Linked DNA regions of Callithrix jacchus. The protein of the gene in region 2 interacts with the protein of the main gene of each other region in a biochemical or structural test. Links are inferred from orthologs where the notes say so. Each region holds a gene or a part of one and is shown on either strand. Other genes may lie near its edges. The genes, in order: SYNJ2BP, ACVR2A and GDF2.

The links.
Region 1: the proteins of ACVR2A (region 2) and SYNJ2BP form a complex in vitro, tested with the Homo sapiens proteins (2 studies listed by BioGRID and IntAct, with this or other methods). The link is inferred for Callithrix jacchus from reciprocal best matches to the Homo sapiens genes ACVR2A and SYNJ2BP.
Region 3: the proteins of ACVR2A (region 2) and GDF2 form a complex in vitro, tested with the Homo sapiens proteins (2 studies listed by BioGRID). The link is inferred for Callithrix jacchus from reciprocal best matches to the Homo sapiens genes ACVR2A and GDF2.

What each region holds. Positions count from the first base shown.
Region 1 is NC_133509.1:105,334,584-105,344,839, reverse strand, and holds part of SYNJ2BP (synaptojanin-2-binding protein), read left to right. Parts: exon of another isoform or gene 1-5,007; intron 5,008-5,013; coding exon 5,014-5,154; 3' UTR 5,155-10,256. UniProt on the Homo sapiens protein: Regulates endocytosis of activin type 2 receptor kinases through the Ral/RALBP1-dependent pathway and may be involved in suppression of activin-induced signal transduction.
Region 2 is NC_133507.1:82,453,203-82,463,458, reverse strand, and holds part of ACVR2A (activin receptor type-2A), read left to right. Parts: intron 1-685; coding exon 686-829; intron 830-2,753; coding exon 2,754-2,897; intron 2,898-3,113; exon of another isoform or gene 3,114-3,220; intron 3,221-4,062; coding exon 4,063-4,208; intron 4,209-5,858; coding exon 5,859-5,973; intron 5,974-8,616; coding exon 8,617-8,755; intron 8,756-10,256. UniProt on the Homo sapiens protein: On ligand binding, forms a receptor complex consisting of two type II and two type I transmembrane serine/threonine kinases.
Region 3 is NC_133513.1:41,183,204-41,192,737, forward strand, and holds GDF2 (growth/differentiation factor 2), read left to right. Parts: upstream 1-716; 5' UTR 717-931; coding exon 932-1,277; intron 1,278-3,273; coding exon 3,274-4,208; 3' UTR 4,209-5,994; downstream 5,995-9,534. UniProt on the Homo sapiens protein: Potent circulating inhibitor of angiogenesis. Signals through the type I activin receptor ACVRL1 but not other Alks. Signaling through SMAD1 in endothelial cells requires TGF-beta coreceptor endoglin/ENG.

The DNA.
Region 1 (10,256 bases), on a different chromosome or scaffold from region 2:
ATTTATAAACCGGGGAATGATCCAAGATGGCCGATCACTAACATCTCGGGATTGCAGCTCCCAGCGAAAGCTCAGACAACGAGAGGACGCCACACTTTCAGACAAATTTTGGTCGCTCACAGAGCAGAAGATTCCCAGTGGAGGAGCTCCACGGGTCGCCAGCGCGACTCTTGTGGTCAGCGCAGCGTTTTCGTCGGCGCCTCGGCACGGCTGCTCTCGGTGCCGAGTAAACAGGACTGGTTCCCCTTCTGACCGAGGTCTGGAGGAGCCACACGGGTCGCCAGCGCGACTCTTGTGGCCGGCGCAGCGGTTTCACCGGCACCTCGGTGTGGCAACTCTCGGTGCAGAGTAAACGGGACTGGTTCCCCTTCTGACCAAGGTTTGGAGGAGCCACACGGGTCACCAGCGCGACTCTTGTGGCCAGTGCAGCGGTTGTGCTGGTACCTCGGCGCAGCAGCTCTTGGTGCAGAGTAAACGGGACTGGTTCCCCTTCTGACTGAGGTTTGGAGCTCCGGGAAGGCAGAGTTGCCTATTACGGACTCAAGAAGGAAGCCAGACTGGAGATTCCCGGGCAGAAAAGCACCATCAGTCTTAACGCTGCTGTTTTGGCCGGCACAGTTGGGTTGCTCATATTTTGGCCCTGGGAATTAACAACTAGGACGTCCACTCAGAGACCTAATTTGAAAGTTGGTAATTACAAAGAAGGCAGGTGGATAAATTTACAATAATGGGAAGAAACCAGCATAAAAAGGCTGAGAATACTCAAAATCAGAATGCCTCTCCCTCTAAAGAGGATCACAGTTCCTCATCAGCAAGGGAACAAGGCTTGATGGAGAATGAGCGCATCCCATTAACAGAATCAGGCTTCCAAAGATGGATAATAAGAAACTTCTGTGAGTTAAAAGAACTGTTGCAGCCCAATGTAAAGAAACTAAGAACTTTGAAAAAAGGTTTGATGAAATCCTAATGCGAATAGACAACTTAGGAATATAAGTGAATTAATGGAACTGAAGAATACAATGCAGGAACTCTGAGAAGTATGCACAGGTTTAAACACTCAAATTGTTCAAGCAGAAGAAAGGATATCAGAGGTAGAAGTCCAATTTAATGAAATAAAACGAGAAGACAAGATTAGAGAAAAAAGGATAAAAAGGAATGAGCAAAGTCTCCAAGAAATGTGGGACTATGTGAAAAGACCAAATTTACATTTGATAGGTGTATCTGAATGCGACGGAGAGAATGAATCCAAGCTGGAAAATATTCTTCAGGATATTATTCAGGAAAATTTTCCTAAACTAGCAAAGCAGGACAATATTCAACCCCAGGTAATACAGAGAACGCCACAAAGATATTCCTCAAGAAGAGCAACCCCAAGGCACATAATCTTAGATTCACCAGGGTTGAAACGAAGGAGAAAATACTAAGGGCAGCCAGAGATAAAGGTCAGGTTAATTACAAAGGGAAGCCTATCAGACTTACAGCAGATCTCTCAGCAGAAACTCTACAAACCAGAAGAGAGTAGGGGCCAATATTCAAAATCCTTAAAGAACAGAACTTTCAGCCCAGAATTTCATATCCAGCCAAACTAAGCTTCACAACTGAAGGAAAAATAAAATCTTTTACGAACAAGCAAGTACTCAGAGATTTTATTACCACCAGGCCTGCTTTACAAGAGCTTCTGAAAGAAGCATTACACATAGAAAGAAACAACCAGTATTAATCTTTCTAAAAATATACCAAAAAGTAAAGAGCATCAACATAAAGAAGAATTTACATCAACGAATGGATAAAACAGCCAGTTAACATCAAATGGCAATAATCCTAAATTTAAATCGACTAAATCCCCCAATCAAAAGATACAGCCAGGCCCAGTCCCCTCGCCGAGTCCCTCTGCTGTCGCCACGATGATGCGCGGGGTGGCCTCCGCCGTGCAGCCAGCCACCGCCGAGACCCAGAACATCGCCGACCAGGTGAGGTCCCAGCTTGAAGAAAAAGAAAACAAGAAGTTCTCCGTGTTCGAGGCTGTGTCCTTCAGGAGCCGGCTGGTTGCGGGGACAAACTACTTCATCAAGGTGCATGTCAGTGATGAGGAATTTGTCCACTTGCGAGTATTCCAAAGTCTCCCTCACGAAAACAAGCCCTTGACCTTGTCTAACTACCAGACCAACAAAGCCAAGCACGATGAGCTGTCCTATTTCTGACCCTGACTTTGGGCAGGGTCCTTCCACCAGAAGGCTGGTAATTAAGTGATTTCTGTGTGGACCCCAGCGTCCACTTGGGATCATAAAATGAGCATCTCCTGGCTGTGCCCTTCGGGTGGAAGGGGCCGGATGCAGCAGCTGCTCTTGCATTTCTGTTCCTAAATTTCATTGTGTTGATTTGTTTCCCCCTTCCAATCAGGGATCTTAATTACTTTCAAAATATTTTCAAAAAATAAAATATATATTTAAAAAAAAAAAAAAAGATACAGCCAAAACCCAACGGCATGTTACATCCAGACCCATTTCACTTGCAAGGATACACAAAGACTCAAAACAAAGGGATGGAGAAAGATTTACCAACCAAAAGGAGAGCAAAAATAAATGAATAAATAAAAAGCAGGAGTTGCAATTCTCGTATCTGATAAAATAGATTTTAAAGCAACAAAGATATAGTGGTAAAAGGATCAATGCAACAAGAAGAGCTAATGATCCTAACACCCAGATACATAAGACCTATAAAGAGACTTAGACTCAACGAGACAGAAAATTAATAAGGATATCAATGACTCGAACTCAGATCCAGAACAAGTAAACTTAATAAATATTTATAGAGCTCTCCACTTCAAATACACAAAATATACATTCTTGTCAATACCACATCACACCTACTCATAGGTTTAAATGAAACATTGGCCATTATTAATACCCATTTTTTTTTTTAGAATAAAGCAACATTTCCCTTCTCTCTCCCTCTTTTTCTTCCTTTTTCTTCCTCTCCTTCACTCCTTTAAAAAAAAAATAAAAGAAAAAGAAAATTCATTTATAAACCATTTGATAAAACTCTTAACTACAAAGATGGTGGGTTTTCTAATACCCACTGTTTGCTTTTGCCTGTCACTGCCATGAACCCTTCATTTATCAATTTGGTGACCCTCTTTTTTTTTTTTTTTTTGAGATGGAGTTTTGCTCTTGTTACCAAGGCTGGAGTGCAATGGCGCGATTTTGGCTCACCGCAACCTCTGCCTCCTGGGTTGAGGCAATTCTCCTGCCTCAGCCTCCTGAGTAGCTGGGATTACAGGCACGAGCCACCATACCCAGCTAATTTTTTGTATTTTTAGTAGAGACAGGGTTTCACCATGTTGACCAGGATGGTCTCGATCTCTTGACCTTGTGATCCACCCACCTCAGCCTCCCAAAGTGCTAGGATTACAGGCGTGAGCCACTGCGCCCGGCCTTTGGTGACCCTCTTAACCAAAGCTTTAGTGTTTATAGAAGAGTTCCAGGAAAAAGGAAATGGAATTTCATCAAGGCAGCACCTATCCCTGCATCTGTTTCTTATTTCTTAGTGTTTTATAATTTGGATGATGTTGTAAAGGGAATCCTGGGTAGATGTAATTCCTCTTATAGCACTGAGACTTTCTGAGTATATTCACAACACAGGTCCCATGTGCCTTTAAATTAAGTAATCAATTTGCTACTTCTTAAATTGGTGCACTGTTTTCCTCACTCAGTGGCTAAGGATTTAGAAGCTTAAGAAGACTGAGAGGAGTTATTAAAGGAGTAGAGAAAACAGAATGTGAAAGATACCTGAGAAAACAACCAGAGTTGCAAGCAGCATCTGGGTGTAATGGATTAGAAAACAGGTGAATAAGAAATAATATTGGTCATCAGTTGCTTCTGCCTTGGCTCTTGTCTTTCTAAAGCATGGGAGAATTTGTGGTGTAGATAAAGACAAGTAAATACAGGCACACACTTCAATATGATTACTGTTGTTTTGGAAGGTATGTGGAAAGTTATTTCCAGTGTTTACTTTTAAGGAAACATCCATAAACAGTTCCTAATAAAAAAGACCCTTCTGTTCAAGGAATTGGCCTAGCCCAAAAAACCATGTCTTCCTATTGATTATATCCTCTCAAGACAGCTCATCAGCAAATGAATGAAAAATCTAGAGGTGGAATAGAGGGTATAATGGTGTTTTGTGCAGTCTTGCCTTTCAGATTGAAGGGTCAGCGTTTTATGAATTGTAATGAGGAAGTTAACTAACTGAAATACGATGGTGCCATAATTATCGCAAGTTAGCCACTAAAAGTTGATATTAAGAAGAGCCACTTTGAAAACCATCACCAAAATAAAGACCATCCAGCCTCAAAGGAAACACTTAGGCAATAGAAAATTATAACCACTAGAATATAATTTCTTTTTACTTTTTTACATCTATTCCAGATAGATTCACCTTCATCTCTCTCTAGTATTAGAAATGAGCAGATGAAGGGCAAAACCCCATCTTTGGAGGGAGTTGGGTGCCTTCTGGGATTTGGAAAGCATTTTTCAAGTAATGGCATTGCACCTATGTTGGCATTGCACCTACGTTGACATTGCCCAGATCTGCTCTTACTACATTTTGATGACTGATTATTGAAATAGACATTTCCAGAAAGATCCCCCTTCTTCCTCACCAAGTAGTATCCAAGTTCCCTATAGGATCATAGGTTTTATCTCATGTCTTCATTTTCCTGATACGATAAGCAAGGTACAGGCAGTACAGAAACAGAAATTACTTGATTTGCCCTCAGGAGACGCTTTAGGTCAGCAAGGTTAAATGCTTCCCCATCAGACCTATTTTCTTTCCAAAGATCCTGTGACACTGATGCATCAGCTCAGGACAAAGAGAGGACTCCTTCTGCTAGGTATTGCTGGGGGACACAGCTTTGGGTGGGCTATAGTCTACAAACCCAGGTGATGTATCAACCTGGGTGTTTCAGTTGTAAACACATGTTAGTCACTAGAGTTAACGTTTTTCTTTCCCTTCCAGTTACAGGTGCAGAATGGACCTGTAGGACATCGAGGTGAAGGGGACCCAAGTGGTATTCCCATATTTATGGTGCTGGTGCCACTGTTTGCCCTCACTGTGGTAGCAGCATGGGCTTTCATGAGATACCGGCGACAACTTTGAAAAACTTGTTCTCTTTCAGTGCTCCCAATGAAGATAACATTTCACTCACCCCTGCTATGCTGCCATGTCTTTCCCTTTGTGTAGCCAGCACATGATTTGAAGTGACTGATACCCACCCCAAACCTTGCTGTTCAGAATCTCCAATTCTTCATATCCTAATGGGAAAGTAAAGGTATTGTTTGAAGGAAAACTGAAGAAAACACTTGCTTAGAACAAAGGAGAAGTTACGTATTTTACTAGGACTTTCAATAGAAATTCAGCTATAACCCAAAGAGAGAAAGATTCAGTCTTCCTCTCACCATAGGCGATACCTCTTTTCTTAGCTGGCATCACATAAAGGCCAGCTATGTAATATTAGAGGAAGAAGGGATTTTTCTTTTTAATGATCTTCCTTGGGAAATTATTGTGGCCTTTATTTAATTTCTAACTACATACCTGGGTGCCTATATCAGACAAGGAGAGTGAGAAGAGCATTTTTACTTTTTTTAAAAAGCAAATACATACATACACATACATATGCAAATATTATAGTATAATATTGATAGCCATGGAGAACTAAAGAGCTCATGAGAAAGCTACTTTGTGGTTTCTAGGTTTCTGATAAAAGGGATGATCTTAACTGAAGAATTTAAAGAGATACAGAGCAAATGTAATAGGCGCAAGGGAGTGAGCCTTATAAGAGGATGTTGTAAGTCTCATTTATTAAAAAAACCACTGAGGCTGGGTGTGGTGGCTCGTGCCCGTAAATCCCAGCACTTTGGGAGGCTGAAGTGGGAGATTGCTTGAGTCCAGGCGTTCAAGACCAGCCTGGGCAACATAGCGAAACTTCATCTCTACTTAAAAAAAATAAATAAATAACTGAAGCGACTAATTAAAAATCTTATTAGAAGAACAATATTTCTAATAATAACTGACTACAGTGAGTTATCATAAGATAAATTGTCATAATCTAGCGAGACTCATATCTAAGAAACTTTGAGGTGTAAAGGTAAATCTTACATATCTCTGGGCTGCTCTAGTGACTTTTTTGATATCTCACAGTCTTGTTAAAGAACTAGGTGGGGCTGGGCATCGTGGCTCATGCCTGTAATCCCAGCACTTGGGGAAGCTGAGGCAGGCATATCACAAGGTCAGGAGATAAGACAATTCTGGCTAATACAGTGAAATCCATCTCTACTAAAACAAAACATTAACTGGGCATGGTGGCAGACACCTGTAGTCCCAGCTGCTCGGGAGGCTGAGGCAGGAGAATCGCTTGAACCCAAGAGGCAGAGGTTGCAGTGAGCTAAGGTCGTGCCACTGTACTCCAGCCTGGGCGACAGAGCAAGACTCCATCTCAAAAAAAAAAAAAGAACCAGGTGGAAGGATTGTGGTAAGGGCTATAGTGCTGGAGTCAACTCCAGTAAGAAAACTCTAAAAGGACAAATGATAAGGTAGTGCCTCCAAGGTGGTACCTGAATTCTCTCAGGCTGTCTTTGGTTTCTAGTAACAAACCTGAGAGAAGAAACTGCCTCCCTGGCAAGATGGGTGTCACATCAACTCTGCTTCTGATTTAGTTAAAATGAGAGGGCATGGATTGCTAGTATTTTTGAAAAGCTCTATACACTACATATGGCTAAACCTTTTTGCAGCAAGAGGGAGGAAGAGAGTTTTGTTTGCTTTAGGAGGTAGGGAAATTTGATACGTGTTTCATGTAGCCTAGGAGGAGGATATGAATAAATGGATATTACAGAATGCCAGTGATATCAATAAGGTGGGAACCGTCCTGTTCATGTTCTTTTAAGGCTGGTTTTAAGCACTATGGGTAGCTGAATTTTCTTAAGAAAATAATTTCCATTATCCAAATATATTGGCCTACTATAGGCCTTATATAATTTTGATAGCAAGATTATGAGGACTCAGTCAATCAGTTATATTTCATTTCTAGCTTTGGACAGTCTAGTAATTAAACAAATGTTGATTGGACATCAGCTTTGTCAAGACACTTTTACAAAGAAGTGCAGTGTGTATCCTCCATCCCATAGGGCTTTTGGGATCTAACTGGGAAGAGAACACTCTTATTGGCCACATAGGAAAGACAGTGTAAGTAGGGGTCATGTTTATATTACAGACAGCAAAAGAGAAAAGTTACTGAGAACTGGGGCATTTGAGAAAGTTACGTGGAGGAAAGGGACAAGTCAAAGACCCTTGAGGAGCTCAAGTTAAGGCTAGTTAAGAGAATTCATAAATAGGTGAGAAGTTAGGTAACCTTTGAAAACAGTTATAAAAGGATACCATACAAAACACAATGCAGCAACAAAGAAGATATACAGACAATCATCACATTTTCTTTTAGGAATTCAGGGAAAAAAAGATGTCACACAATGGCATCAGGCTAGATTGGAAAGGGAAGGCTTTTAAAGGTCCAGTAAGACCTTGCCTCTGGGTCAACTACTGGTATAAGGAGGAACTTGCTTTAAACAGTCCTGACAAAGTGCCTTTTGACCTAATGCCTTTGAGACTCACTTAGACAACCGGACTCATTGTAGGTTCCACAGGAAAACACTGACAGTATTCTAGATCTTACTCCAACCAGCCACACTGGCAGGGCGCAGCCTCGTACCCTTCCTATTTCTGAAGGTATGTATAGTGGCTTCTGCAGCAAAACTGCTTACCTCCCAGGATCACTTCATGGTTTGGACAAACAGGAATGAAAGCTCTAGTTTTTTGCTTGTTGGTATATGTAAATTTTTTTTAAAAGTATCCTCTTCCATCATCGGTAGAAGTTTTGCTTTCATTGATAATAGGGATTCTGATGTACTCTTATAACTTAGGTTTTCTCAGAAATTAAATAGCATTTAAGATCAGTGTAATACAGTTTTAAGCATTACACTGATTATACTGTTGATTCTGTAGAAAACTAAAATTATACATGAGGTATCAGAATCCATTATAGGTTGTAAAAAAATTTATGTTCTTTATATATTGAGTCTAATACTTCTTCTACAGATTGTATCTAATGTTTCTGCTACCTAAATTATTACACTCAAAGTTTTGAAAATTGAAAAAAGATATTTTTAAGTACTTAAAACATTTCTCTATATTTATCACTCTGTATTACGTATATAAAATAAGATTGTTTGCTTCAACTATCTGTACTTTCTTTTCCTGTGAAGTTTTAACTTCATGTATTATTGAATTATTAATAATACATGTATTAATGTATTATTGATTTAACTTAATTGTACCATCTAGCCATGTATAATGGAAAAAGGAAGTTAATATTTGTTATTATGTTCTGTGCCAGGGACTGGACCAAACTCTGATTAGTACACTATCACTATGGCATGCCTAGTTCATGCCTCACAACTCTGGGATCTAACTGTTGTCAGAAAGAGACTAAAGATGAGAGAATAAATTACTTTGCTAGGATGATATAGGTGGTGATAATAGAATCAGATTTAAACTCAGGACTTCACGTTCCAGCATCAGTGATATTCTCTCACTGGTAGTGGTTTTCAAAGCTAGGACAAAAGCATCAGCATTACTGGGGAACTTGTCAGAAAAGCAAGTTCATAGGCTGGGCATGCTGGCTTATGCCTGTAATCCCTGCACTCTAAGAGGCCTAGGCAAGCAGGTCACTCAAGCTCAGGAGTTTGAGACCAGCCTGGACAATGTGGCGAAACCCTGTCTTTACTAAAAGTCAAACGAATTAACTAAGCATGGTGGCCCACACCTGTAGGCCCAGCTACATGGGAGGATCACTTGAGCCCAGGAGATTGAGGCTGCTGTGAGTCATGATTGTGCCACTTCACTCTAGCCTTATAGCAATAGAGTGAGACCTTGTCTCAAAAAAAAAAAAAAAAAAAAAAAAGAAAAGAAAAGAAAAGCAAGTTCTCAGAAAAGAAAAGCAAGATCCCAGACCTAGTCTGAGTGTGACATCACATCTGGCAATCTGCGTTTTAGTAATCCCTCCAGGTGACTGATTGATGCTAAAATTTGAGATTCATTGCTCTATGCCAATCATCATTCTCTTTGCTTGGGTTAGAATCATCTGGAGAGCTTGTAAATGTCCTCATGCCCAGGCTACACACAGATCAGTTAAAAGGAACCTCTGAGGGTGGGACTCAGGCAGCAGTAAAATAAAGTTCATTGGGTGATTCTGGTGTGCAGCCTCAGTTGAAAATGTTATATGGCATTTAAACTCAGACACTATTTCAGTTATTAAATGACATACATTGCTTCAGCCAAAAACAAAAACAAAAAACTTGGGCCTTTAGAGCCCAGCTTTCAGAGCTTCTGCACAAAGTAGAACATTCATTTCCTCCGGATTTGCTAAGGATTGATCAACCTCCAGCAAAATGTATGATTAGTGAGTGTTTCAGTTTGTGCTTCTATTAACTGAGAACCAATCATAGAACGTTGAACCTAAAAAGGACCAGAGAGATTCTAGGATGAATCTGTCTTGGAGATGAGAAAAATCCAGGCTCAGAGAGGGAAGCTAACTTAACTCTGATCAGACTTAGTCTGCTGCAGAGGTCACCTTTCGGTCTGATATTTATGTCTTGAATATATTCCCTAGATGAATACACAAACTATCCATTTTATCTTAGTCTACTTCAGTCTTCTCTCTTTGGGCCTGAATAAAGACGAGGAGAACTGATAGACAGCTAAAGGATATTGCAAGCATGATTATTGGAATTGGGAGATTCCACAGAACAATCTGAGAATGATCTCATATCAAATACAGATGAGTTATTCTGAGACTAATTCCAATAGTTTTAAAGTAGAGACGAGTTTTTTGTGGTGGACATTGTTTTTATCGTGTAAATAAGCAATTTTTAAAATACATTTAAAGAAATGAAAGAGCATAAGAGCCATCTAGGCTGTCAAGTATGTGGGGAAGTGGAGTTCACATAGTTTCATGTGGAGCCCATAAAGATTTTATTATAGTCAATTTTAGTGAAATTTATCCTTGGTCAGATGAGGGTTTTGTCCTTCATTCAGCAAATAGTTAATGAGTGCATACTATGTGCTAGGTGCTGAAGATACAGAGATAAATAAGACTTAGTCACTCTAAGCTGAAACTGCTCAGCATATGAAAGTGAAGGAATATTTGTAGG
Region 2 (10,256 bases):
GGATTTTTTATTTGTGCTTCTTTGCCAGTCAGTCAATTCCAGAATACAGATAATGTTTTACCTCAGAACAAAGGGATGAATTGTTAATATGTTGAAAATTAGAATGAACCAGTTTGGTTAAAGAAATATTAACTGACATTTCTGGTATGTGCTTTATATTTGATATACCTATCTGCAATGTGTTTAAGAATGACTGCGGGTGTCTCTGAGATTAATGAAGAAAAATTTTAAACAGTCACTGGAAAAAGTAGTAGATGTTAAGGAGTGATTTTCACTGATATATAGCCATAATTTGCTGTTTCTGGTGCTTTTCAATTCCTCTTCTAAGGAAGTACAAACTGGATGAAATAAATGAGATACTTTTAGTAATTCATAGTTCACAGAAAATCTTAGTGGGGAAAATTAGTGAGACTGTATCAGAAATATTTTAGATATTTTCTCTTGTGCTACATATATAGCAGTAATGCTGAATGTTACTATGAAAACTCTTAATTCAGGTTGCCTGCCTTGTGATCACTATAGATAATTGGTAATATAATTATGGCAAAATTGAAATGAATGTCATCCATATGTGTTTACTGTTTCTGTCAGTTGACTTTTCAGTACACTCACTTTTTTTCTCATTTTCAGAGTTGATATGTATCATGTTCTGCCTATTTATAGTAGTATTGTTGTTTATCTGTAGGACCCAGGACCACCCCCACCTTCTCCATTACTAGGTTTGAAGCCACTGCAGTTATTAGAAGTGAAAGCAAGGGGAAGATTTGGTTGTGTCTGGAAAGCCCAGTTGCTCAATGAATATGTGGCTGTCAAAATATTTCCAATACAGGTATGTTTATTGCAGTTTTGTTATCTTACATATATGCTTTATGGCTAGGTCATCATAACTCAGAAATAGTCTCAAAACAGAAGCCATATGTTCCAAGATGGTTCTTTGTGTTACTGGGAAAGCAGTTAGCTCTTTTAATGGCTGCCTTTGCATCTGAGAAATGGATTTGTTAGTATAACATTCATTATGTTTGTCTGGAGTGGTGGAATTAAAATAAATGAATGCATAGGAGATCTTTTGCCAATGAAAATTTTATAGAAATGTTTAAATAAAGATTCCAATAAACAAGTCTAATTGAGTGGTTAAATTTTGATATCCCCTTACATTGTCAGAAAAAGCAAACAGAGAAACAAAGGAGTGGTATGCTTTGTTTTAGAATTGCTATTTGGAGGTATATTGCTAGACTTGATTTATTTTCATTCTACTTTGACTGTTTAGTTAGTTTAGTTTTTTGATGCATTTTCAGAGACAATCAAGACTTCAAATAATCAGTTTATTGTTGAATTGTTTTTCTTTTAGAGGTTGGCTGGACCTCTCATGAAACTCTGATCTGATACACCTCTGAGCTATTTTGTTTTGTTCTGTTGGTGGTGTAGATTTATGATGATTCTTTCTTCACTGCCTCTTGCTTATATACCCTGGCGGTTTATGATATCCTTGGTACTGACATCTTGGCTGAATTTGGTGATACAGGCGCTACCACTACACTTAGAGAGTGGATCTTCTTTTTCCAAAGTTGTCATATAAGCAATTTCTTTGTCTTAATATACCTAGATTTTAACCTTCTTACCTCCTTTAATGCCTGTCCAGTCTATGAACTGTATTACATAGAGTTTATGAATTGTATTACATTTTATTTGTAGTTGTAAACCACAGTTTAGTTTTCAGAGAAAAAGGGCATTCTGTTGTGCCAAGATTCATAAATAAGATAAGGGAAGAAATTATTTCCAGGTGCAAGAAAGCATAAAGATCAGAGAAAAACATTTGGATGATATTAACCTTAGCCCAACAACAGTAGCTAACATTTTAGTGAATGCTTTTATTGGGTCAGGTAGTGGTGCTTTACATACATGAGTCCTCACTAATATGTGTATGTATATTACTGACATGTACATAAAATGCAACATATGCTACAACAATCCTATAAGACATACACTGCAATGCCTGTTCTACTTATTGAGGACACTGAAGGATTATGTAACTTGCCAAAGGTTAGTGGGAGAGCCAGGATTTAAGTTTGGACAGTTTGGATTCAGAGGGTTTCTATGAGTTTCTAACCATTATGCCATAGTGTCCCTCACTATCGTTGTCTTTTTGTAGTAAAAAGAAACTAATCTTTTATAAGTAGGTATTTAGTAGGCATGGATTGCTTACAGGCACAAATGAACATATGGTGTCTTAAATTATTGCATTGCAAATCTATGCCACTTGCTTTCTCCTTGACTTTGCAGGGTATGCTAAACATTTTTTAAAGGATGTTTGATGTTATCCTTTGAAAAAAAGAAATGTTTTGTTTTGAGGAAGTCATTCTACCAGTATTTCATCTTTTGGGGAGATTATTCTGAATAGTACCACAAATAACTTCACAACATGATGAAATTACAATGTAATATTTGGCAATAACTTATAAGCAAATGTGTTGCCATTGTAAGATACAGAATGTAGCATTTCGGATCAACTTCTTTGTTTGTAAACTAGAAACACAGAAAAGTATGTTTTAAGGGAATGGACAGGGCTGGTCTTTAGTATGAATTCGTTAACCTATTGTCAGAGCTTTTTCTTATTACACAACAGAACAAAAAGATTTTTTCGTACTTTTTTGTTTTGTTTTGTTTTACTTTGGAACTTATTTGAGTAATCTCTTAGACATGGTTTATTTACCTGTATTGTTTGTGTTCTTATTATTCTTTCCTTTTGACTCTAGGACAAACAGTCATGGCAAAATGAATATGAAGTCTACAGTTTGCCTGGAATGAAGCATGAGAACATATTACAGTTCATTGGTGCAGAAAAACGAGGCACCAGTGTTGATGTGGATCTTTGGCTAATCACAGCATTTCATGAAAAGGTAAAACTGTTCAACATTTTAATTTAGTAAAGTCTGGGTTGGCCTGCTTAGCTAATGTTGGCTATAAATCCCTCAGAGTTATTTTTCTAGACATGTTATAGTTGATTAGTATTTAACCTGAAAATAAAATAATTCTTGAATAAAAGTCTGTTTTAAAAGGTAGTTCATTTTAATAAAAGAGCGAAGATAGCAACTTTTTAAAAAATTTTTATTTTAAAAAATATGGAACGCTTCACGAATTTGCGTGTCATTCTTGCGCAGGGGCCATGCTAATTTTCTCTGTATCGTTCTAATTTTAGTGTATGTGCTGCCGAAGTGAGCACGATAGCAACTTTTTAACTAACACTCTACTCATATAAACCACCCTTTTTTCCCTTATTTCTTGTGCTGTAATTACTCTTATAAACATTTATGTTAGTATAGATAATGCTTAGTAATTTTCATTTACCATTTACAATTCATTTTGAGTACATAAACTTTATTTTTTTTTTCCAGTTTTAATCAGTCTTGCTTAGGGACAAAACCAGAGACAGGAAATTTATCTGATCCTTGAACTCTCACTAACTTGCAGGGTAATTATCACCAAAACATAATTGCTAGTTTTCCTCAATTTTTCTACTTCCAGAGCTAGTGTGAAAGTACCATTAGTGAAGTAGGAAATTGTGTTTTTGGTAATTGGTTTCATCATTGTGAAATATAAATGGCTTTTTTACTTCACTTAATTCTTGACCTAAAGGACGACAGTAATTTCTAGAGGAATATTCTATATATTAGTTGTTTTTTTATGTTGTAATTTTGTGTTCTCCTAGTCTCATGATGTAACATCTCTATAGTCAGGATATTTCAGCTTTTAAAATACTTTCTAGAACTTTAGATTGTTCCATTCGTCTTTTAAAAAAAAATGTGTCTTATAGATTGGTGGAAATTGACTATTCTTGTAATAAACCTTTAAGGTTCAGTGGTATTTCTTTCTGGTCAAATGTTTATTAATGTGAAATGGAAGGAACTTTGAACCATTCCAGAAAGATTGTTTCTTGGATATAATTTTCCCTGAAAGGAAAGATACGCTGCCTTCCATAACCTCTTTTAGGTAAAGAGAAACGTCTCCTTATACATATGGCCTTTGTCGAGAACATAAGTTTCTTTTTTTCCCTCTTTTCTTTAGGGTTCACTGTCAGACTTTCTTAAGGCTAATGTGGTCTCTTGGAATGAACTGTGTCATATTGCAGAAACCATGGCTAGAGGATTGGCATATTTACATGAGGATATACCTGGCCTAAAAGATGGCCACAAACCTGCCATATCTCACAGGTAGACAAATGTTGTTTTCCCAGATAATTGAGTATATATTTACTGAACTTTTAAGCCCCTGGGTAAATTTTAGTTTCCTCCTTGTTATGCAGTCATGCTTTACAAGACAGTTGATTTTCATTTCTTTTTTAAAATTTGTCTTGAGATTGGCCAGGAAGTATTTTTTATAATGTATATGTTAACATCATTGGTAAAGTTTGATGATCTACCTCATCTCATTTCTGAAAGCATGGTTGAAAATAAATTGTATTTCCTCTATCTTATAAATTATATTATCTCTATAAGGAAAAAGACATTTGTTTTACCTCAAAACATGATTTACAGGGATTGTTATACAAGGGCATGTAATGAAGGAGAGACTTTGAATGTCTTCCTTGCTTGTTTTTTGAATCACCTTATTATCTTTAGCCAAAGTAGAGGCAGGCATCATTTAAACAATTGTCCAGTGAAGAAATAGTACTTAGACCCAACAGTTTTCATGGCCATAAAAGGAAAAAATGATTGTTTTTTAAACACAGAATTCAATTTTCCATGTATTTAATTTCCTTGAACATGGGATTCAATTTGTCATCTCGTGTTCAATTTAAAGATGGTTGTTTTAAAAGTAGGCATTAACTGACTCACGGAATAGATATTTAGTTGAGTGCTACCAGGTGATGTTTTAGGTTGCTGGGGGGCATTATTGTAAGTCAGCTGCTAATTTAGGTTCTGATTTTGAAAACTTTAAATGAGATCTACCTCAGAAATAACTCTTCTTTCTTCTCACTCTCTTACATGCAGTCTAATGGCCTCTTCTTGGATTCTCCCTTGTCCTACCTGGCCACATAGGGAATTAATTCTTAAGAATTCACAAAGTTATTAGGAAAAGGGCCTGAAAGTCTTTTGAAGCTAAGACTGATTATTGGCTTTTATAGCATTTGGGAGTATTTCCTTGTGCTTTCAATATCCCATTCGTGGTCTATGTGTCTGTACATAAATTTAACCACTAGTCATGGCATAGTTACTCATGTATTTAACTAGGGTATAGTAGTTCCTAGGATAAGCCAGTTGAGACAGGTGTGTAGAATAGGATGTCTTATTGCCTTAGTACTGTTTTGCCTTTCAGAACACCAGGATCTAGCTAGAGCAGTGTCTGTTTATGGTAAAAAGATTGGATCTGTTATGCATTCCATAAGATACTTTTCTACAGCCAGGTGGAAGAATATAAGAACCACTTAATAAGGGAATATTCTAAAATGTAGGTCTATGCCAAAAAGCAGAAGACCTCAATTCACCTATTTTCAAAAAATTCCTTCATTTTGTTTTTTAAATTTTAGTTTCTATGGGAGTTTGCATGTAAGAACTCTGAAACATTATCTTAAAAAACAGTTTTATGATTGATAGGTGGGAGACATAGATAACATATCTTTTTGGCACAGCAGATTTTTATATAACTGCCTTATGGGTAGGGTTACTTCTTCTTGTCCATATTGTGAATAGGAGTTTGTCACTGTACTCTTGTGTTTAAGGATACATGGGGGCTCTGAGCTTTTTCTCTTCCCCTTTCTCTGCATTTCATAGTATATATATTCCCCCCCTTTTCACTTTCAATAAAAAATTGAAAAAGATAACTTGTTTAAACTTAATTTGAATACTCTTTTTATTTGCAAGGGACATCAAAAGTAAAAATGTGCTGTTGAAAAACAACCTGACAGCTTGCATTGCTGACTTTGGGTTGGCCTTAAAATTTGAGGCTGGCAAGTCTGCAGGTGATACCCATGGACAGGTAAGGATGATGATTCTGAAATGTAAGAAAAAATAAACTTGTTCCATATTTTCTTAGAATGACATGTTAGGACTGAATTAGTCTAAAATTGTTGTGGTGTTTAAATCAGCATCTAATAGAGTTATATCTTTAAGTTTCTGAGGAAGACATTTTCATATGGTGGTGGAGGACTTAGGTGGTTTAGATCAAGTTCTTCATAAAATAATCCTTAGACGCATGTCATAGGATTCTTTTTGAAAAGTTGATCAAAGAATAATCCAGCACCTTTTAATGGACCTCATTCTTAGGGAGTTCTTCATACTATCTCAGTAGTTTTAGTCTGTTAATTTTTTCACCAGCTTAAGATGAGCAGGAGGGTAATTAGTCACTATCCTTACTACAGTGTGTTAAAGATTCCCTGTCCATTTTCCCATGCAATAATAGTTTCTTGCTTCTCGTTTATTGCTTCATTAACTCTTTAATCAGCCTGATGGCTTTTCTCCAGATTCTCTCCAGAGTTCAGAACCATTGTAAACCCCTGAATTAGGTGTGTAATTCTTCACACCTCTCTGCACTTCTGTGTGCACAGAGATCTTAGTAATGGGAATGTTTTTGAAGGCCAAAAGGGAAAAGAACATTATTCATACATTTTATTTTCAGAAACTTTGAGGTTGGAACAAGATCAACTTTTATTTATTTTTATTTATTAATTTACTTTTGAGATGGTGTCTTGCTCTGTCACTCAGGCTGGAGTACTGTGGCATGATGTTGGCTCACCGTAACCTCCGCCTCTCAATTTCAAGTGATTCTCCTGCCTCAACTTCCTGAGTAGCTGGGATTACAGGAGTGCACCACCATTCTTAGCTAATGTTTATATTTTTCGTGGAGATGGGGTTTCACCGAGTTGGTCAGGCTTGTATCAAACTCCTGACTTCAGGTGATCTGCTCACCTCGGCCTCCCAAAGTGCTGGGATTATAGGTGTGAGCCACCACTTCCCAGCCAAGATCACTTTTTAATCAGTGAAACCAGTTCAACCTAAAAGATGACATTTTCTACAAAGCTAAATGATTCAGGCCTTTGGCATTATCATTTCTTCATCTTTCATGTCATGTAAATTTTTTGGCCAACTAATTCTTAGCTTTTGTTTCCCCAGCATATCCTATTAGTTCTTGAGGTCATGGTTTTAAACAATCATGGCAAAAAAATTTTTGGCAATATTGACTAATGGTTTAAGAATTTAGTTTGAGGTAATGGTCAGTAGCCGTGTAGCTCTAGAAAAGTTGACTGCAAATGTATATGGGAATGGAGGCAATTTTGTGGAGAATACTACCAAGATTGTGTAGGAAGCCTGAGGACAAATTTCTCAGCTAATTGAATGATTGACTATCATAAGACTAAATTCTGGGATCATGTTCTTAATTTGGTACCTCATAAGCCCTCCTTCCCCTATTTTTTGAGAAAAAAAAATTGACTCATTCATGTCATATTTTAACTACTTCATAATTGGGTTCTATGATGAGTTAAAAATTAATTGCTTATGGCAAATGACTCATTGACTTTAGATTTCATGGACCAGAAAATTTCAAAACTATTTGGAGGGACTTGCATGTTATTGCACATTTTATATAGTACAAAGGAAGAACACATATAAAAGAGGTGACATTTTATGTCAACATGGTAGATAAACCAATAATCTTGTAATAAAAAAGGTAGGTACTTTGGATGGCATAGATTTATCTTTAAGAGAAAAGTAGGCTTTAGGGAAACACTCACTGACAGTACAATTAAAATATTCAGAGTAGAAAATTTTTAAAAAGTAGAGCTACTTTTTCCCTTTCATGTAGATTCCTTGAACTTTAGGCTTAGAGATATGTCTTTATTCTTAAAAAATCTCTGTTGCATGTATATTTGCATAAATTGCCCAACTTTTAGTCTAGAGTAGAGATTACAGCCACCTAAGGATGGAGCTTTATGGGCGTACCAATATCTAGACTACTCTCTAGTCCTAATACATCACAAGTGTGTTGTGATGTACCCAGCTATCTCACAAGTATTTTTAAGCATTTATATATGAATGTTGTCAAGCACCAACCAAAGCTAGCTGTACTAGCTTAGTAACCATAGTTACAGTACTAAGAAATACCAAATTGTTGGGGACAGATATAAATAAAGGACTCCAAGACAGAAGAATTCATGAATAAACAAATACATAGATTTTGTACAAATAGAACTTTTTAACATCAATGTGCCCTTTACTTGGCTAATTATTTTTACAACATTTTATTAGTTTTTTTTTTAAATACAGAGAAAAGACCTCAAAAAAAGTTGTTTTTTGTTTTTTTTGTGTGTAATCTACATTTCAAACAGTATGCAAAAGTACAATTGAAAAGTATGCAGTGGCCTTCTCCCAGCTAACAGTCAGTTCAGTTTTTTGTAATTACGTCTAGAAAGGGGAACAAAAAAACTTCCAAGTCTGTACTAGCATAATGTCTGTTGATATATTTTTTAAGTATAAGCAGAAAGGATCTTACTATTTATATACTATAGTCTGGTATACTTACCCTGGTAATAGATGATATTTGGTTTTGATTCTTACAAAATCATACAGTGTTAGTTCATAAAGTTAATGAATGAGTACTCTTTGCTTTTAACATCTTTTTCAGGTTGGTACCCGAAGGTATATGGCTCCAGAGGTATTAGAGGGTGCTATTAACTTCCAAAGGGATGCATTTTTGAGGATAGATATGTACGCCATGGGATTAGTCCTGTGGGAACTGGCTTCTCGCTGTACTGCTGCAGATGGTAAGGGAAAAAGTAATTTAAAAAAAGGTATATATGCCTACACACATGTATGAAAAGGGATGATACATTCAAAGGTAATATTTTAAAAAGTACAGTTTTTGTTTGTTTTTTATTTTTTTAAATAGATTCCAAGAGGTGGTAGAGAATTCAGGAGGCAGGGGTATTCATCCTTTACCAATACTAGCTATGTTGCTGGACACTTCACATACCATGAGATTATTTCCTAAAACAGCTTCAGAGGTAGATATTACACTAAACAGATGAAGAAACTAATATACAGAGAAATTAAGTAGTTTGACTACTTTCGCCTCAAGCTGGTGAATGGTGAAGCCTAGATTTGGAACTCTGATCCATACATAGGGAGAGGTCTGCTTTGGTAAGGCCGACTTCAGTAACAACACAGAACTGTTTAACCTGCCCCCCAGGTTAAAGGGTTTCCATTCTGTGTTCTTGTTATTGAAGTCCAAGTCTTACAGATGTTTGCTTTTATTTATTTATTTTTCTGGTTTAAAAAAAAAAAAACTTGTCGACTGTTACTCCCAAACAGATGTAAATTAGCTTGATCTGTTTCTTAAATTTTAATTTATAGTTGCCTAAAAACTTCCCTTGATTGTCAACGACCATAGAAGAAATTGTGAATATTTTATAAGTTAAATAACCAATGTAACCTGTGTTACTAAGAATGTTTTATTTTCTGAGTACTGTAATAGGCTCTCATTGTAGGACAGACTGCCACTTGAATGTAAAATTCAATATGGGGCACTATACTTTTAAAGGGAATTTAATAGAGTGCTCAGAAATGGGCACTCTATAGGGATTCTTCTAGGATTGAGGGATTGGCGTGGGAGTCAATCGCAAACCTAAGAAAGGTTGAAGCAATTTGGGAATAATTTTAGAACTCTTTAGGAAGAAGAATAAGAATTCAGAGTAGTTTCACTCAAAATGGTTGAAGAATTACATTTATTATGTGTATTTATGGAAGAAGTAGGTTAGATAGCAGATGTTATAGGAAAATATATTTTATAAGAACTTTATTAATATGAACTCTCCATAGCAAATCATTGGATTAGGTAATTTATTAGACACAAGACCGTGTTCTCAAGTAATATACACTTTAGTTACGGCAATAAAATATATCCTGGACAATGAACTCTGTAGTAAGTCAAGTGTGCATTGTCTAGCCCATTGCCCAGTACACAGGTATTCAGTAAATGGTTTAGGATGAGTGCAGTACTTAAGAAATATAAGCATGTGTTTTAGGAATTTAGAGGAGAAATTGCTTTGTTTTGGGGGAAAAGGAGTTATCAGAGAAGTTCTTTTGGAAAAAGAAAAGGCTAGATACTTTTCTTATATGCCTTGTATATACCATGAAATAATTTCAGTCAGGCATTTCTGACTCTTAAGTCAGAACCCAACTCTTAAGTCAGAAATTGGGGTAGAGAGGACAAGTATGAGCATTGATTGCTAAGGTAGATTTTTTCAAATTTGTTGATGGCTACTT
Region 3 (9,534 bases), on a different chromosome or scaffold from region 2:
CCACAGGCTGCAGTGTGTTGTGGAGCTCCCCCAGAGCAGGCCAGGGGAATCTGGGGCTTCCTCCCCCATCTCCAGCTCAGTCAGCCCTGGGCTAGAGATGCGGCAGCCAGAATACAGCCACCAAGCCAGCCTGGGGCACAGCATCCTCTTAACCATCTACAGCTGTCTTCTGAATGGGAGGCTCCGAGAGCTGTAGTGACTTTCTCCAGGTGTCACTTGGTGGGCAATTGGTGAGCTGAGATCCCAGCCTCTGTCCAGTTGGACTCATCACCACACTAATTTGCACGGGAGCCATATTCACCCGTGATCTCTAATGCTCAGCAATGTATCCCACCAACAGAGCAGGGAGGCTTGCTGACAGGTTCTGACTCTACAAGGAGCAGGCCTCTTCTGAGCTCTGATGCGGTCCCCACCCTACCCCCATCTCCCCAGCCTCCACGGTTCACTGTGATCTTGCACTGCCCTTTCTTTATTTAGAGGACTTACTGGTCTTGTTTCCTGGATTCTTCACTCCTGTGGCCCAGGAGATAGAGTATATGTCACCCTGCCTGGAGATTCTTCTGAACAGCCCTGGCAAGGAAATGAGAAAGGATCCTAATTAGGGGGCAATAACCCCCAGGAGAAGCGCAGATTCTTTACAGTAGGCCATGTCCTTCCCACATGCCCTGTGTATTTGTCAGATGTTTATAGAGCCTTCATTAACGAAGGGCTCCCTCAGATAAGAGGGTGGAGTGAGGCATCGAGGACCAAATTAGCACAAGTAGAGGACAATCCAGCCTGGCGGCAGGCAAGAGTGGGCACTGGCCAGGACGGTTCCTTCAGAGCAAACAGCAGGGAGATGCCCGCCTGCTCCTTCCCAGCTCCTCCCCGAGCCTGCTAACACGGCACGGCTGCCTGCAATCTCCTCTCTGGGTAATTGCGTGGGCCCAAGATGTGTCCTGGGGCACTGTGGGTGGCCCTGCCCCTGCTGTCCCTGCTGGCCGGCTCCCTACAGGGGAAGCCACTGCAGAGCTGGGGACAAGGGTCTGCTGGGGGAAATGCCCACAGCCCACTGCGGGTGCCTGGAGGTGAGCTGCCAGAGCACACCTTCAACCTGAAGCTGTTTCTGGAGAACATGAAGGTGGATTTCTTACGCAGCCTTAACCTGAGCGGGGTCCCTTCGCAGGACAAAACCAGAGTGGAGCCTCCGCAGTACATGATCGACCTGTACAACAGGTACATGTCCGATAAGTCAACCACGCCAGCGTCCAACATCGTGCGGAGCTTCAGCATGGAAGGTAACGTCTCTGCTTGCATCAGGCGCACTGGGGTGGGGCTCACAGGTCCACAGCTGCCCTGACCATCGTGGAGGCTGCTGGCCATAGGAGGCTCTTCAAACTCATTTACATTAGTTACAATGAACTAAAATTAAAATGTAGTTCTTTGGCCTCACCAGCTTCCTTTCAAATGTGTGGCTAATGGCTTTGCTATCAGGCAGAGCAGATTGCAGGACATTTTCATTGTCACTGAGAGTGCTACTCGGCCGCTCTGCTCTGAAGGATTCACCTTCTCTGGGCTGTGTGTCATGTTTCACACAGCAGGTGCACAGGGATGCCAGCTCCCCTTTTTTCCCCCGCTTCCCTTTGCTCTCCTCTTCTTTCCATCTCCCTGCTCTGATTCACTTCTCTTCCCTTCCCCCTTCACTTCCTGTCCTCTTCCTACTTCAAAACAGATCAGACAACCTATTTCTTCCCCAACTAACTTGTATATTTTTAAACTTTGAAAGCACATCTATTCCTTTCTTGTGAAAGAGTTTTAAAAATCAGATAAAATTCTTTAACAGAGAAATGTTGGAAGAGAACCTAATCGTTTTTAAGTAGAAACATGTCTGACTTAGAAGGACTGGAAGATAACAAACATGGACCTAGAACCTATGTCCTAACTCAGTCAAGCTCACATGATGCAGGTGAAATGAGTTTCTGAACAGCGAAACTGTTCAGTCAAAGCTTGCAGCCACCCAGGGTATCTACCCAAGTCTCCTAAGAAGTGTTAAGCCACTGGATTCTGACCTAGGCCTGTCTGCCTGCACAGCTGGCTTTTGCTGCTGCTTTCTCCCTTTGAATGTCCAGGAGCACAGGGCCTCTCCCCTCCTGGGTCTGAGACTTGCAAATGGCTAAGGGCCCCAGCTCCATACCACAGCCAGGCCAGATCTAACCGGTCTGCAGAGGCAGGACTGGAACGTCAAAACCTGCCGGCTGGATTTCCCTACAGCACAGGGTCTCCACACATGTGGGCACAGCCAGTGCTCAAAAAATGCAAACTTTCCCCTGCCTGTGAGCCAGCCACGGTATAGCAGGAGCATGCTAATGACAAAGTGTCAGCCCAGGATCAATGGGAAATTGAGACAACTATGTGGCTAAAAGGCAAGCCCCATTTTTGATTGACATGACAAAGCAATTTAAGCCAATAGGTTTTTTCCCTCAAGCCCTGAAAACGACCGTCCACCTTCACTTTGTTTGGAAATTACAATTCCAGACAACTTAGACACTGCAAATGCTGAGTTTTTTGTTTTTTGTTTTTTTTTTTTTTTGAGATGGAGTTTCGCTCTTGTTACCCAGGCTGGAGTGCAATGGCACGATGTTGGCCCACCTCCGCCTCCTGGATTCAGGCAATTCTCCTGCCTCAGCCTCCTGAGCAGCTGGGACTACAGGTGCGCGCCACCATGCCCAGCTAATGCTGAGATTTTTAACATTGTCTTAATATTGAGCTTTCCTGTCCCCACCCAGGATCTCTCCTTTAAATTCATACACTCAGAATCTTTACTCAGGACCTGACAGTGAGTTTTGCTGCTTTCTTTATGTACTCAACTATCTGTGTGCTACTAAGTGCCAGGATACTTAACTAGCTGTGTGCATTTTGGTAGCCTTGAGTCCCAGTCTCCACATCTGTAAACGTGGAATAATAGTTAGATCCTCCCAGGGTGAGTGTGAGGATTAATGTGAGATGTATTCTGCCAAGCTTCCCGTGTAATGCCTGTCACATAGTAGATGCTCGGGAAACAGTAGGAGTTGTCAGTCTCAGTTGGAGGCATCTCCTGCCTTTGCTTTTCTTTGGAAGATCTTAAATGTGCCTTTCAAAATACCCTTCTATCTTAAGGGCTTGGGTGAAACCAAATAGAGATTAGAGACCAAAACTGTTAGCCCAGATGTTCTTCTGTCTAAACCCTGAGACTTAGCTTCAGGTCACAGAAACAGAGCCGCCAGCAGATGCCCACCAGGTATGTTTGCATTTCAGATGCCATCTCGGTAACTGCCACGGAGGATTTCCCCTTCCAGAAGCACATCTTGCTCTTCAACATCTCCATTCCCAGGCACGAGCAGATCACCAGGGCCGAGCTCCGACTCTATGTCTCCTGTCAAAATCACGTGGATGCCTCTCACGACGTGAAAGGAAGCATGGTCATTTACGATGTTCTGGATGGAACAGATGCCTGGGATAGTGCTGCCGGGACCAAGAACTTGCTGGTGTCCCAGGACATTCGGGATGAGGGCTGGGAGACCTTGGAAGTGTCCAGCGCCGTGAAGCGCTGGGTCCGGGCTGACTCCACTAAGAGCAAAAATAAGCTGGAAGTGACTGTGGAGAGTCACAGGAAGGGCTGTGACAAGCTGGACATCAGTGTTCCTCCAGGTTCTGGAAACCTGCCCTTCTTTGTCGTCTTCTCCAATGACCACAGCAGCGGGGCTAAGGAGGCCAGGCTGGAGCTCAGGGAGATGATCGGCCATGAGCAAGAGAGCGTGCTCAAGAAGCTGTCCAAGGATGGCTCCACAGAGGCAGGTGAGAGCAGCCGCGAGGACAGCCACGTGGCTGCAGGACCAACTTTAGCCAGACGGAAAAGGAGTGCCGGGGCGGGCAGCCACTGTCAGAAGACCTCTCTGCTGGTGAACTTTGAGGACATTGGCTGGGACAGCTGGATCATCGCGCCCAAGGAGTACGAAGCCTACGAGTGTAAGGGTGGCTGCTTCTTTCCCTTGGCCGATGACGTGACGCCGACGAAACATGCGATTGTGCAGACCCTGGTGCATCTCAAGTTCCCCACAAAGGTGGGCAAGGCCTGCTGTGTGCCCACCAAACTGAGCCCCATCTCTGTCCTCTACAAGGATGACATGGGGGTGCCCACCCTCAAGTACCACTATGAGGGCATGAGTGTGGCAGAGTGTGGGTGCAGGTAGTACCTGCCTGTGGGGCTGGGGAGGCAGGTGAAAGGGGCTCCTCACGAGAGGTCCTGCATCCCCCTGGGCACAACAAGGACTGATTCTATCTGCATGCCAGCCTGGAGGGGGAAAGGGAGCCTGTTGTCCCACCCCATCCCCCACCCAAAGCACACACCACCAATTCAACTGCCAGGGAACCCTAAGGAAATGGGGGTTTGAGCACAACAGGAAAGCCTGGGAGGGTTGTTGGGGTGGAAGGAGGTGACAAAAAGCAGACAAGGGGAAAAATATTTCAGAGTCAGCAGAAAACTGAGCAGCAGTGAGCCAGAGGAGCACAGGTGGGCAGGTGACTGCAGAGACTGATGGAGATTAGAGAGGTGGAGGAGGGCGGGCTCATTCCAAAACCCTGCGGAGTGGAGGGAAGGAGCAGGCCATGCTCCACATCCATCACTGCACATTATTTCCCACAACCCAGGTAGAGGGGCATGGCTTCCAATTTAGAGACACAGAGACCAAAACGCAGGCACATGAAGTAGCATTGATCAATGGCATAATTCCAACCCAGCTCTGTGGAACCCCAAAGCCCAGGATCTTCCCAAGTGCCCCGCTGCAGTTTAGCAGGTCCTCCCTAGCTAAAGAGCAGTGAGTCACTGGGAGCCCAGGAGTGTTCAGGCCAGGCCGGGCTGAGGCTCATCAGTCACAAATGTGACTGGGCTGCTTGGCACATCCAGGGCATGGTCTGGCCACTGTTGCCAGTGCTCACTCAGTGGCCAAATGTTTTTTAATATCTCCTCTGAGGCACTGAGAAACTATCTCCGGCCAACAGCAGGACAGACAGAGAGGTCAGGACAGCAGCCTTGTGGGCTGCATGATACACTATGACCCCCTCATGCAGTGCTCCTGCGGCCAATGGCGCACACGGGACCACTCGCCGTCCATGGCTGAAACCATGTGACCGTTTGAGAGGGCGGGCCACACTTTCCCTTGAGGGACGGGGCAACCTGGGGCCGGTGTCTCTGCCGTTACTCAGCATAGCCAGATCACCAGCATATGGTATCCAGGGTGTCCCCAGTGACAACCCCATGGGAGACAGGCCTGGATTTGAATTTGTTGGAATTAAATGTGCTCGTGCTTTGGTCTTTGAAACATTCCTAGTTTAATGCCTTGGTGACATGTCCTCAAGTGACAAGACTCCAGCCTTCCTGGAGGAGGCCTCCCCAGCCTCAGAAGAGCTACAGTCCTTATGGGCAATCACTGGCTCTGCCTGCATTTGCCTGCTCTCTTGAGTCATGCATGTGCATCCCAGAGCCCTGCCTGAGCTTGGATTGGGACCAGACCCAGGCTCCACGAAGTCAAGGGAGGACGCACCTTCCACCTGCTCAGTGTTTCACCCTCTCCTCCGAATCTCCTGGCCACACATGGAATGGGGCAGTATGAGGAAGATTCTGAAAGTAGTGAAGAGTGCACCCATGGCCCTCTGACCTCCAGCCAGAGCAGGGCCTAGGGGAGGCTTAGAGAGGCCAGGGCTGCTCCCATTTATTTTTTTTAAACAGTGTGTGTGGGAGGGGATGGGAAAGCATTATGTTAAATGTTTACATGGAACCAATGAACAACTTTAACACAAAAATACAATGAAACATTCTGGTTTACTTACTGGTGTTAAAGAAAACATGAATTTCTGGCACATGCCGGGCAGTGTGGTGTTTCAATGCTGTTCCAAGTTGGGTGTTGAGCATCTTCTTTCAGTACTGGTGGTGTTTCTGTGCCTGCTTGAAAGTCTCACTCGGAAATAAAGTCAAATGTCTAATTTGCAGTCCCTCCTGAATGTGAGACCCGATCTTGAGGACGATCTAGACACATACTCTGCTTGCTACACCCTCCAGACCCCACTGGGATGGGCCTCCCCTTCCTAATGGGGCAGAGGGGAGGGACAGGCAGCCGCCCCAGGGCCGGGTGGATGTAGGTGGCTGGTGTCTGTACACTAGGGTGAGTGATGTGCTGTGAACACTGGAGTGAGTGATATGGTGTGTGCACGCTGGGGTGAGTGATGTGGTGTGTGCACACTGGGGTGAGTGAAGTGGTGTGTGTACATTGGGGTGAGTGATGTGGTGTGTGTACATTGGGATGAGTGATGTGTATGCACATTGGGGTGAGTGTTGTGGTGTGTGCACATTGGGGTGAGTGATGTGGTGTGCGCACATTGGGGTTGAGTGATGTGGTGTCTGCACATTGACGTGAGTGGTGTGCTCCTGTATGGGCTTCTGTGTGTGAGGGGGTGGGGCACCTGTTTGTAGGGGTTTGCAAATCAAAGATGACACTTACTTACCTGCCTTCCTCTACCTCCCCGTATATCAGGAGAGGCAGACCCTGAATGCCCTAAAAGACAACACTTAAGTCCTCCTCTCCTCTCCAGCCTAACACCACCTTCTTATTCTCTGCCTGCAGGGGCGCTGCCCTGCCGACCCCACTCCCAGTCCCATAGCCCCAGCCAGTCTTCTGGTGGCCTAGCTACTGTATTGCCATCCTACCCGCCTCCTGATGCTCCGGTTGGGCCTCTCGGGCTCTGAGGAGGGCCACAGTCCTCCTCCTGCACAGTCCTCGTGGGCCTGGCACTGAGAGCTGCTGACATCTTGTCTTGAGTCCCCTGGGGACAAGACCTGTGTGCTCACCTTAGTCACTCCCAGAGGGCAAACATGATTTGTACCCATGTGCAGTGACAGAGCATGCAAGGAAACACCCATGGCATGTTTCCCAGCCTCCATGTCACTGGGTTATTCTTTTGATCACATTTCCTCTGCCTGATGACCACCAGTTCAAGACTGCATTCATCAAGTTTCCTGAAGTATTTCCCTTGCATTTCATCAGGATGGCAATCTTATCACTGTCACATGGATGAAGAAGTGTAAGTCCAGCAAAGCCAGGGGCCTGTCCCTACCCATGCACTGACTCGGCAGGATGGCCAGGCTGTCCTCTGCCCCTCATTGTGCCCTGACCTCTGTGCCATAGCGAGGGGAGAGAGGCTCAGGAATGCCATATAGAAAGCAGCAGCCAGACACATGGAGAGACAGAGGTAGCAAGACGATGGGGACACAGAGAGGCTGCCAGGAGCACCTCTGAAACCTGCCCTGGCCCAGAGCTGCCTTCAGTGGCTCTAAATAACCAGCAGATGAGTAGGAGTCTTCGTTCTGCCTTTTACAAACACACAGAAGACAGAAGCATGTGAAGCCCTCACGCTTTGCTAGAACCATAAGCCAAGCCAGCCACTGCTGGAGACAGAATTTGAGCTCCAGTTTGGGACACCAAGCCCAGATTCTCTCTACTGTATGGAGTCCTGGTGCTTTCTTCAGTGTCAAGATCAAAGTCACACTTGCAGGAAAAATCAAAACAAGGGCATAAATAAGATCAAATAAATAATCTATGCTCTCGTGGGCAAATTCTGTTCTACCAGGGTGCTGCCGTGTCTTATGCTCTGCCCTTCCTGAACTCTCCCCTCCCTGATTTCCCCCAAGTTGGACTCTCCCAGCCCTGGGTTCTGCCATCTCTGGAGTCTCCCCTCCCTGGACTCTCCCATCCCTGAACTCTCCCCTCCCTGGACTCTCCCCTCGCTGGGTTCCACCTTCTCTGGACTCTCCCCTCCCTGGGCTCCACCCTCCCTGGACTCTCCCCTCCCTGTACTTCCCCTCCCTGGACTCTGCCCTCCCTGGGCTCCACCCTCCCTGGACTCTCCCCTCCCTGGACTCTCCCTTCCCTGGACTCTGAGCCAAAGTGCTCCAGGGAAGCCAAGGTCACTGTTCTGCAGATTTCTACCTGGACTAGATGCTCTCTTCCAGAATTCTACCAGAGTTGGAAGAGAGGTGGAATCCCAGGTCAGTGCTTCTGAGAGTGTGCAGCCTTGTCTATTTTGAGCCTGGCTTAACTCCCCAGCACAGCTGGAATGGGAAGCCCCACTCCACTGAACGCCAAAGCTCTTTTTCCCTGTGGGACACCAAGGCTTTGGTTCTGTATCCGGCTCTTCTGATTCGTTCTCTCTGCCCTGGACATCAGCTCCTCCTCAGAGTCTTCCTTAGATTTCTGCTATGCCTGCCCCTGGGGCCCCTTATTCTGGGCCTCTTAAGATAGGCTCACCTGAACCTGGAAGGCTGCACACCATCATCTCCAGTCATCCTTACAGTAGCCCTCAGTAAGGTGGGTTTGCTCCTCTGCAGACGAGGAAGGTAGGTGGAAGAGACAGTGCCAGGTATGCAGCAATGGAGCCTGGACCACCCTCACCTCTGGGGGTTCGATCCCTTCCATGACAGCCCCTGCAGCAGGCCCAGCCTCCAGCTGTGATGGTGCAAAGAGACAGAGGAGAGGCCAGTAGGGCCACACTGGCCTTTCACCTGCAAGGGACCTGGCTCTGAGAGCGCTCCAGTGTTCACAGGCTCGGGTGTGTGGCCCAACAGGCGCTCAGGCTCTGGGCTTGGTTGAATGGTCTGCTGTTGCCATCTTGAAATGTGTAATAAGTTTTGAACAAGGGGCCCACATTTTCATTCTGCACTCAGCCCCACCAACAATACAGCCAATTCTGAATGCATGTAGAGGGTGGCATCTTGGTTTCTCAAGTCCCTGAGGTACTCGGCAGCTATTTCAGGCCTCAGGAGTGACTTGGTCCTGGGAAGACAGGAGTCTGAACTTTGCTGCTAAGTCAGCCCTGCCCGCCTCCCCAGGTGCAGGATGAGGAAGCCCTGAGGTTTCTCCAATGTGTCAGCCGAGGGCAGGAAAACTGTTCATCTCTCAAAGGCTGGCCTGTGACATGGTGCATCAGTGCCTTGGGGGAGGGGTCAGAACTGCTGCCATTTCTTCCCTGTCCTTCTCCCAAGGAAACCATGCCCAAGACGGGCCACACCTCAAATCAGCAGGGAACACAGATGGTTTATGCAGGGTCAGATTGAAGAAACCTTCAGAACATTTTTCTTTTCCTTTACAGGTCGTAGAATCTGAGCCTTGGAAGATAGCACCTACTCCAGGTAGAAATCTGCAGAACAATGACCTCAGCTTCCCTGGAGCACTCTGGCTCAGCCACCCACCACTCCTCCAGAAAGCCCAGATCATGTGAACATGCCCATTTATCAGGAGGATGTGCCCAGGCCTGAGCCAAAGTCCATCTCTTCGCAGCACCCTCTCATGAGCGTCTGCTCTGACTCCAGGGTCCCCTTGGTCCCAGAGAGCCGTGACATAAAAGCCATCTCCCTGGAGAGCAGAGGGGTTTAGGCTATGGTAGAAATGGGCAGGGTTCAGGCCAACCAGGGGCCAGGGGCTGGGTCACTTTCTGGATCAACGTGAGAAAAATGAGGACAATGAAATA